2 linked regions of the Mus musculus genome follow. The protein of the gene in region 1 purifies or fractionates together with the protein of each later gene. This does not show direct contact. Links are inferred from orthologs where the notes say so. Each region holds a gene or a part of one and is shown in the gene's direction. Other genes may lie near its edges.

The links. The genes of interacting proteins can lie anywhere in the genome.
Region 2: the proteins of Ndufa4 (region 1) and Ndufa9 fractionate together in Homo sapiens (co-fractionation; 3 studies listed by BioGRID and IntAct, with this or other methods). This does not show direct contact. The link is inferred for Mus musculus from reciprocal best matches to the Homo sapiens genes COXFA4 and NDUFA9.

Annotation. Positions count from the first base shown.
Region 1 is NC_000072.6:11,903,941-11,908,882, reverse strand, and holds the start of Ndufa4 (cytochrome c oxidase subunit NDUFA4), read left to right. Parts: upstream 1-1,432; 5' UTR 1,433-1,517; coding exon 1,518-1,559; intron 1,560-2,774; coding exon 2,775-2,863; intron 2,864-3,620; coding exon 3,621-3,681; intron 3,682-4,942. UniProt on the Homo sapiens protein: Component of the cytochrome c oxidase, the last enzyme in the mitochondrial electron transport chain which drives oxidative phosphorylation.
Region 2 is NC_000072.6:126,820,948-126,825,739, reverse strand, and holds the end of Ndufa9 (NADH dehydrogenase [ubiquinone] 1 alpha subcomplex subunit 9, mitochondrial precursor), read left to right. Parts: intron 1-561; exon of another isoform or gene 562-737; coding exon 738-804; exon of another isoform or gene 805-843; intron 844-3,246; exon of another isoform or gene 3,247-3,550; coding exon 3,551-3,721; 3' UTR 3,722-3,877; downstream 3,878-4,792. UniProt on the Homo sapiens protein: Accessory subunit of the mitochondrial membrane respiratory chain NADH dehydrogenase (Complex I), that is believed not to be involved in catalysis. Required for proper complex I assembly.

The DNA of each region.
Region 1 (4,942 bases):
CTCGAGAAATACCGTGGGTTTTGCATACACACTCATCCATTATTTCAGTAATTGGCATGGATATGTTCACAGCTGCTCACCACTAAAGTTCTGATTTACTCTTTTTTTTTTATTCTTTTTCACTCATTCACCCATAACCATCCAACTATCAAGTTCTGTTGATACCACAAAATTTTCTCTGATATTTTTGGTGATTTTTTTTCCCCAATCAGTACATTCCTCCCCACCCCCAGGACAACTAAAAATTCTCTCACATGGACAACTACAATAGCCCTTTTATCTACTCCATTCTTCATAGCCAAAGGAATTCTTTTCAACCATATAATCTTATTGGTGAACTTCTGAAAGTCCTGAACATAAAGTCCTTGCATAAGTGGTCCCTGCCTCGGATGTGGCTCCTACTTTGCCTTCCCTTTTAAATGGTAGACTGTGTGCTTCATGCCTTCATGTGAATTGTCTTCCTTATACACCGCCACCTGAAGCCTGTACTGGGCTAATGCTACCTGTTCAGTTTAGCAGTTTCGGCGAAACCCTCTCCTTATTATTTGAAACGTTTTAACATGTGTAGGGAGTCCAAATTGTTGGCTGTGATTCGAAAGTGCCCATTAAACCTGCCCCAAGGAAGAACTTTTGGGTAAAAGTAAATTTGCAAAGAGATAAATGAACATTGACTTAGGATGGTAGAAAAGGTTAAGTTCAGCAACACGGCCAATGAAGATACTTTTAAGGATTCAATATCTGGACCAAAAAGAGATGGTGGCATGTTGCAAAACTTCTTTGGGGGGCGACAACTCTTCAATAGTGCCACGACCTAAGAATCTAGAAATCACATTGTAGAAACTATGGCCAGCTTTAAGTCACTTACTAGTGTTTCAACTTCTGTCCCTAAGCGCCAGTGAAAGTCAGGAAGCAGCTGCAGTCTTAAACCGCAGCCGTTGACCCCGGCGGCTGGAGACTCGACCTGTCCTGCGGGATCTGGGCGCTGAGCCTGCAGAGGCGCCTGGCAGCTCCCTCCGGGGCCCTCCGGGCGGCGCGGCGCGCGCCCCACACGCGCGCCCCCAAGCGCGTCCACGCGCGGCCCTGGCCGGGAGGCGCCGCTAAGGAAGCCGCGCCCGCCGAGCGCACTGCCAGCGGACCGCCGGATGACCCTGGTCTATACGCATGCCGTCCTGAAAAGTGCCTGTCTCACCAGTCGAGACGCTCTGCCTGCTATGCAAAAAATAAAAAAATAAACCTATCAAAAAGATGCATGGTGGAGAACTGATGGATCATGAACTCAAAAATGCGAAGAAGTGGTCGGGACATTTAGGGCAATCGCGCGAGGGCTGACTACCTATTCAGGCACCTTAGAGGACAGCCGCATCCGGGCTTTCCTGCTGCAGGCTGCCCTCAGCGCCAGGGGTCCTTCAGGTAGGAGGTCCTGGGTGACTTTGGACGTCCGCTCAGCCAGGTTGCAGAAGCGGCTTAGCGTGTGTCCTAATCTTCTCTCTGCGTGTAGGTAGGCCTGTGCCGCAAACATGCTCCGCCAGATCCTCGGGCAAGCCAAGAAGCATCCCAGCGTAAGTTCACGGTCTTTGCCAGGGTGGCCTCTTAGCTGTGGTTGCTCCTGCCCGTGTCCCCTGGGGACGTTCTCTTTTCTCTGTTCCTTGGGGTTACATTCTGTTGTTGGGATGACCTGATTGCTTGAAGCCTCTACCTGGGGTGGAGGTGAGGTTGCCTGAAGCAGAAGGTGGCAGAGATCAGGGAGAAAGGTAAACATTCTGAGTGTTGGAACACTGTGGCTCTCAGATTACTTGGTCCCAAGAGGGGTGAGTGGTACGTTGAGTGATTAGAATCCAAGAGAGGCCAAGTTTGTTATGCTGCTCTTTGCGGCTTTTAGAGTCACTGCATTGCACCACCAAACCTTCAGAAGTGCAAGGGATCGTCATCGTGTAATCCCCACTTTGCTTGGAAAACTTGACACTGGCAAAATTGATTTAAGTTTTCTTGACCTGTCACTTTCGTCCAGTATAGCTCGATAGAGGATGCTGTGTACCTAAAACTCCCACTGATGGGCCTTCATCTTTGCCTTAAGCCTGGTTTTCTAAATACTCAGCAAAATTAACTGCAGTCTGTTTTCAGAGTTCATTCCTAAAACTAGTGCTTTTAATAGGCATTTCTGTCCGCTAGTTATGCTCTTTATTTCACAGAGATTATGTTCACAGAACTTTTGGTTTTTCGAGACAGGGTTTCTCTGTATAGCCCTGGCTGTCCTGGAACTCATTCTGTGGACCAGGCTGGCCTCAAACTCAGAAATCTGCCTGCCTCTGCTTCCCAGTTGCTGGATCAAAGGTGTACGCCACATTGCCTGGCTCACAGAACTTTTAAGGGCCACTTTTCAGTAGTTCCCGAAGAGATTCCGCTCCCAGCCTACCAGGGAAGTATATCTCGTTACTTCCAGGGAAGCAATGAAATTTAATGGGAATGCTGTTCAAGACTTACAGAGGTGAATGTACTTGATAGGATTATTTGTTCATATAATTTAATCCATGTAAGGAAGTTGGACTCTTAAGCCAACACCATCCTGATGTCTTTTTACAGAGATCATGCCTTTAGAATACAATTGAAAGAAACACTGCTTCAATCCAAGTTCAACCGTTATTCCCATTGTAGGACAAATTAGCCAAATAGCAGATTTAGAGGTTGGCTTATATAGAAAGGAACCAGTGTGCCCTTATTTGGACAAGATCAAGGGATGTGATGATGGCTACTCTTCTTTGTCTATTTGTTTCTAGTTGATTCCTCTCTTCGTATTTATTGGAGCAGGGGGTACTGGAGCAGCACTGTATGTGATGCGCTTGGCACTGTTTAATCCAGATGTCAGGTGAGTGTAAATGCTTTAATATTTGGATGGCTAATCATCTGGCTGGGGGCCCCAGTCACGGGAGAAGTCACAGAGTAGAAACAACTACAGTTTGTAGCTTTGCAGTCAGCCCAGGGCTGCTGACTTTTACTTGGCTGGCTTCGTGAGCTCATCTCAATCTCGCCTCCCCAAGTTGTAGTTTCATATTGGTCAAGTAGAATTGCTAATACCAACTCTTACATTTTGAAGGTTGGATAGCACTTGAGGTTTTTTTTGTTGTTGTTGTTTGTTTGCTTGTTTATGTTATGGCTGGAGGCATCCTCACACTATACATCTGGCCGTCCTGGAACTCACTGTGTAAATCAGGTTGGCCTCTCTAGTGCCGGAATTAAAGGCATGCACCATCATGCCTGACAGCAGTTGCTTTTTATGAAATACGTAACCACGATTCCTGTTGTATGTGAGTGTAACCTACTTTTTCCTCAATAAACTGGTCTTTTTTTTTAGTTGGAAAATGATAAAAGCCAAATACAAACATTTCTGTTATAAAGACAGGGATGTAGACAGATATCCCAAAGAGTGGTGTTCTGTGATTTTACCAGTTACATGCTTGTTTACCTATAAACTCTACTTCTGTTTAGCTCTGTAATGAAAGTAATGCCTAATAAAAAGTGAGATTGACTTATTCAAAGTACTAGCTTCTAAGGAAGTATTTTTAAAATACTATTGTAAGTAGTGTTTCATTACTATAATAATTACAATATTTTATCCATTTTAGCTGGGACAGAAAGAACAACCCAGAGCCATGGAACAAACTGGGTCCCAATGAACAATATAAGGTAAGGTACAAAGTGGTTAAAAATTGCAGGAAAGCATATTGTAGCAGATGTGGCTATATGGTAGTTCTCTTGAAATGGGATATGCAAGTGAAATCCTGTTTTTATTATATTGAACGTGAAGAGCCCCTGCCCCGTTGAGTTAGCTGGGACTGAAGGTTTGAGTTGCCTAATCTTCAGGTGCTGCTGCTGTTGATGTGTGGGCAACTCTGGTCTCTTGGGTGCTTTGCTTGGCTGTTTCTTCTTGCTATGATTCAAGTATTTTTGGTGTGGATTAGTAGGAAGAGATGAAAGTTGAAATTAAATTTTGCCATGAGCCTCATAGTTAACCTTTAACATTTTCTCAGAGGAGTGCTCTGTGTAGCTATTTTTTTTTTGTTTGGTTTTTGTTTTGAAAGAATGTGTTCATTCGCCCAGAATATTGATTTCACAAATGAGACTTTATACGTAAATGCTTTTACATGAAGACCCTCACATTACCAAAATATTGCTATATTTGGATATAATTTCATGTCATACAGATTTATCTATTTAAAGTATCCCATATGTTATACTATCAGCTGTTTCTAAGCAGCCAGTAGTTGTTTACCTTAGCACTCAGGAAGAGACACAAAGTCTTCTTTGACTAACACCTGGGGGAAGTGTCTGTGGTAGAGATAGGTGCCCTTTAGTACTATTTATAGCAGCTTTTATGATTTACTCTTTATTTGCTTAAAACTTTCTGCTTACCCCAACTATAATTTGGCTTTTAAGATAAGTTGCTGCCTCTAAAGATACAACAGGAAATTTACTAGCCACTCTGAAACAGAATGTCTGATACGTATTTTTAACAATGTACTCAAGAAACAGTAAACAGATATTCTCACTTGTAATTTTGTCTTAGGAATTTTAAGTACCAGTTATTCGGGGGAGGGATATATCTGCATCTAACGTTTAAAAAAGGAGAAAAAAGAACTAGAGTTTGGATGTTTAACCAAAAAGTATATTGGAATATTGTGTAAATATTTTTCAGAAAATGTACCAGATGATTCTAATAGTTATACTAGTTACCAGTGCTTTGGAAAATGATGACATAGGCTGATGTAAGGCCATGTTACCTGGAGGTGGAATGCTGCTGTTTTAAGACCCTATTGTTAAGAGTTGGCTGGAGATGGCAGCACACAGCTTTAATTCCAGCACTCAGGAGGCAGAGGCAGGCAGATCTCTAACTTCTAGGCCAGCCAAGTCTACACAGAGAAATTCTGTCTTAGACCCAGTTATTTGT
Region 2 (4,792 bases), about 110 Mb from region 1:
ACAGATTTTGTTTGTTTGTGGCACTAGATCAGACCCCGAGCCTCTTACACTTGATCTTAGCCAAAAGGCTGAGAAGCGATCGAGCCTCTTACAAGTTAGACAGGCATTCCATGGCTGAGCTATAGTTCTCGCCTAGGAAGGGGAGACGTAAACATGTTGTTCATACCCCTATATCCAGTATCTAGAACTGTTACAGAGCAATCAGGCTAGGTGATTCTTGGCCTCTTATCCAAAGAGTTCCAGGACAGCCAGGGCTATACAGAGAAACCCTGTCTCGAAAAACAAAAAAACAAACAAACAAACAAAAAAGAATCAATCTTTTTTACAAAGCTTTAGGTGGAGGGCTGTGACAGTGCTGCACAGTGGTTGAGTCCTTGCCTAGCTCTGTGAGGTCTATAGTTTTTCCTAGCATCTTCCCCTCTCCCCAAAGCTGTAGCTGATAGGCATGGCGGCACATGCTAGCTTTTGAGAGGCAGAAGGATTAGGAGTTCAAAGTCACTATCAGCCACCTAGTGACTTGAGTCGCTGATTTAAAAATCCAGGAAAAGGAGGCAGGGAGGGTGAGTTAGATCTGTCTCCACAACAGGTAGTAGAGCCAGGAAGTTGTTATTTTCTCAGAAAACAATGACAAACTTAGCAAGTTCTCGCTTACAGCAGCCCCTCTTTTCCTGGGGGTCCAGTAGGCTGAAACCCAGCCCAGACGCCTCTCACACACGCCGTATGTACTTCCATTGCAGCTGGATTGGCAAACTCTTTGGGCTGAGTCCATTTGAGCCCTGGACGACGAAGGACAAGGTGGAGCGGGTAAGTCTTGGCATAGCAAGCCTCTCACCAGGCAGAGCGCTGTGGAGGAGGAGAAGTCAGATCAGTTTGGCTGGCTTGGATAGTTGCGGGGCTTCTATGTGTGGTGAAGTCCTCCTGGCTGAGGCTAGCCCTTCTGTTCTGCTTTTGGCTCACACATACTCATACTGTTTCACCGTCTTAGTATAGTCTCCCTGTGAGGTCATCCTTGTCAGCATTCAAACATGCATAATAGCCCCCACGCCCTTTCCTTTCTGAAGGCCACACTCTCCTTCCCAGGTCCCTCTGGCCATTTTGCTATTTGTTGTGTTCCCTTACAACTTATTCTGGGTTCTGTTGTTGTTTTAAGACAGGGTCTCTAGGCCAGGCTGGCTACAAACCCACTCTATAGGCGAGGTGCCTTGGATTCCTAGCCTGTCTGCCTCTGCTTCTAAGTGCTGGGACTGCAGGTGTATGCTACCATGCCTGGTTTTCCCTTCAGAAGCTGATCCCAGGAGATTCTTGCGTCATTCTTTGTTTAATCCATTTCAATCTCATTGTATCCTCCTCTGTCCTGAAACTGTGCTTTCCAAGGCCACCCATGACCCCACGCTGCCACCTCTCAGACAGTTTTCTGATCTCACCTCGCTCCTGCTGTGAGCAGCATTTGTTGAGGGGCCACATTTCTTCCTTTTGAAATGGTGTCTTAGCACCTTTGCCTGGCCCAGGCTTTGTTCTCTGCCTTTCCCTTCTCACACTGAGCTGTGCTGGAGGCCCTGTTCCTGCTGCCCTCTCCTCCTGGTTGCTGTCTGTCCTGACGGGGTCACAGCCTCAGCCGTTCTCACTTCTGTTTATAAATTACATTCATCCCAGTTGCCAGCTGCTACTGCTGGAGGCCGTGCTGCCATCGCACCCATATTGAATTGTTTTATGTGGAACTACGCAGACATAGTAACGTTGTAAATGGAACTACAAGCTGATTTTTTTTTCTTTAGATCTTACCAGGTGCTTTCTGCTTTATTTTGAGATGGGGTCTCGCTGTGTTCACTGTGCAGCCCAGGCTGACTGGGAACGTATGCTGACCTTTACTCCGCCTCTCCCATGCAGGGACCAGAGACCTGTGCTGTTTCTTGCTGTTGCAAGCTTGTGTTCTGTCCTTGAACTCTCGCCTCAGTGACGGCCCTTTCTGTGCTGTCCGTGTTAAGACATGGAGTGATCCCCTGCAGTTTTGGTTCCTAAGCCATCATTGCCCCACCCTGCAGTGCTCAGGGTGCTCTGCGTCTGTCCCAGCACATTGCCAGGAGCCGTGTGCGATGGGAAGGACTTGATATATGGCTACCATGACTGCAGACATCAGATTTGAGCTATATGTAATTTTGGTTCACTGAAAGTGAGATTTGAATTATGCTTGACTAAATGGCTTCTGTGTTAGATGATCAAGGGACAGCAGCCCTCAGCAGATGCCAGGTCGGGTCACTCCTCATTCCTGCCTTCCTGTTCATCATTAGGAACATGCTTCTAGTAATATTGGAACTTTGCTACATACTAAAGGCAGAGCGCATAACTATCTCTCCTCTGCCTGCTGTTACCCAGGCAACAGTCCTCTTTCCTCTCTCAGTGAGCCTCTTGCTGCCAATCTTGTCTGCCTGCAGTATGCCGAGTCTAAAGCCCTGGCTCTTCCTTCTCAAGTCTTGTCTGACTCATTGATTATCTGCTTCCTGCATACTCAAATCTCACTGGGAAGATGCCAAGTAAGCACATGACAGCATCTCAGCCTGAGAACTGTAGATTTTCTTTCTGTTGGTGAGATGCAGCCAAACCATCCCCTAAGAGCCGAAGCATAGCAAAGAATTGCTACCAGTCCCAGGGAACAGCATCCCTCTGATAGACTGCCTTAAAAGCAGACACATCTCCATGGTGTCCTTTCCGTGGCCGTGAGCCCCGTTGTCGGACACTTGCTCTTACCTTGGCAACTGAGAAAGTATGAATATAATAGACAGACAGGCTCTGGGTTTGGCTTGCAGAATGCCCTAGAGCAGGCAGTAAACACACTGGGGTCCTCTCTGCGTTGCTCTTTGTGGAGGTCACAGGATGGGACCTGCTTGAGGTCCATGCACAGAGGAATCTGCTTTGGTGCTTTGTGATGCACGGGGCTGCCTTGTTCATCCTTCCTTAAACAAGACTGGTTTGGCTTCAGGCTTTGTGGTGAGCATAGTTGAGTATAATTGGAGCAAAAAAGGCTAATGGGTCTAGGCATGATGTTATAACTGCAGTCCCAACACTTGGGAGGCTGAGACAGAAGCAGTACTACAAGTTTGAGGTCAGCCTGGGCTACATAGTGGGTTCCTAGGAGTTCCAGTGTGAGACACTGTGTCAGAATCCCTAAACCAGACCAAAAAGTTAAAACTGAAATAGCTATAGCCCAGCGATCCAGCATAAGAAAATGGGGGTGCAGAGGTCTCCTACCTTAGCTCTTATCTGAATCTCTAGGTGGAGAGATAGCTCCTGCCACGTTCACTAGGCTCAGCTCTGCGCACATGTGCCTGTGGGGCTGCTCTTTCAGGGTCTCTGTCCTGTGGTTCTGGGGTATGGGAGACCTGCCTCAGGCCTTTGATGATGATTTCTTATTTGTTCTGCTTTTGTGAGTTCCAGAATCAAAGATTGTTGTGGGGTCTCTGACGACCCTTGCCTCAGTGATGAGCCTCAGGCCAGCTTGGGGGTCTGAGGGGTGGCACTCTGTCTCAGCATTCTCTGTGTCTCTTTGTCACAGATACATATCTCAGACGTGATGCCGACCGACCTGCCTGGCCTGGAAGATCTTGGTGTTCAGCCCACACCACTGGAGCTCAAGTCCATTGAGGTGCTACGGCGGCATCGTACCTACCGATGGCTGTCTTCTGAGATCGAGGAAACCAAGCCTGCCAAGACAGTCAACTATTAGTGTCACCCAGGTCACCTGTGTGCAGTAAAAGAGTCACTCTATTAAATATCCGAGGATTCGGTCTATTGCAAGTGTCTTTCTTGACTGATCAGAGAGGAACTCACAGCCATTCAGAACTGAGGCTTGTTTTCTATTAAATAACTATATATAATATCGACACACACAACTGTTCTCTGAAATGTTAGAGGGTTTGGAATTCTTATACCAAGGCCCTATCCTCAAAGTGGAAATATTGCTATGATCTCAGGCTGCATGGTTATCTAGAAGCATTTGGTATAAATGAGCACATAGACACCTACAGCTGATCTGAATTCACTCACACTTGAAGTGCTTTAGACTTGATTGTAAGGGTGGCCTGTTGTCATGTGGTGGAACCCATGGTGTGTCATCTCATGGTAGAGAGAGGAAGAGAGGAGAAGGGAGCAGGGAATGCAACCTCGTTTTTTCTTTTATGGAGTGCTGGGCATCGAACCCAGGGCCTTGTACATTTAAGGCAAGCTTCTTAAATATGAGCCACACCCTTCCCCTCAACCTCTTTTGTGACAACAGTGGTCACTCATGATGACAGAAGATGTGGTCACCTAAACCAAGCCAGGGCTTCTACCACACTGGCAGTGAGTATCCATGGGAACTTTGGAGCAAACCAGTAGCTGCTGTTTCTAAAAGGGAGGGAGGGAGGGAAGGAGCGAGGGAGGAAGAGGGAGAAGGAGGGAGGGAAAGAGAGGGAGGGAGGGAGGGACTCCAGGTTTTTGAGTAATAACAGACTAAGAAGTCGAATGACTTTCCGTACATAGCTGATCTGAATCTCACTGTAAAACCTGTGGTTTGTTTCAGGAAACCATGAAGGATGAATGGACAAAGCCTGTCAGGTTTACATCCTAGAAGGTTATGGAGTGCACGGGAGGTGTAGTGGAGCACAAAGTGTATTTGAGGAACCCTTCCCCGAGAAGGAAGAGGTCCAAGAGAGTGAGAGTTGTGGGTTAGGAAGGTGGGGAGCATTTAAGAGAAACAAGTCCAGGCATAGTAAGTGAAGGCTTTTACCTAGAAAGATGCTGCAAGGAAGGAAAGGGG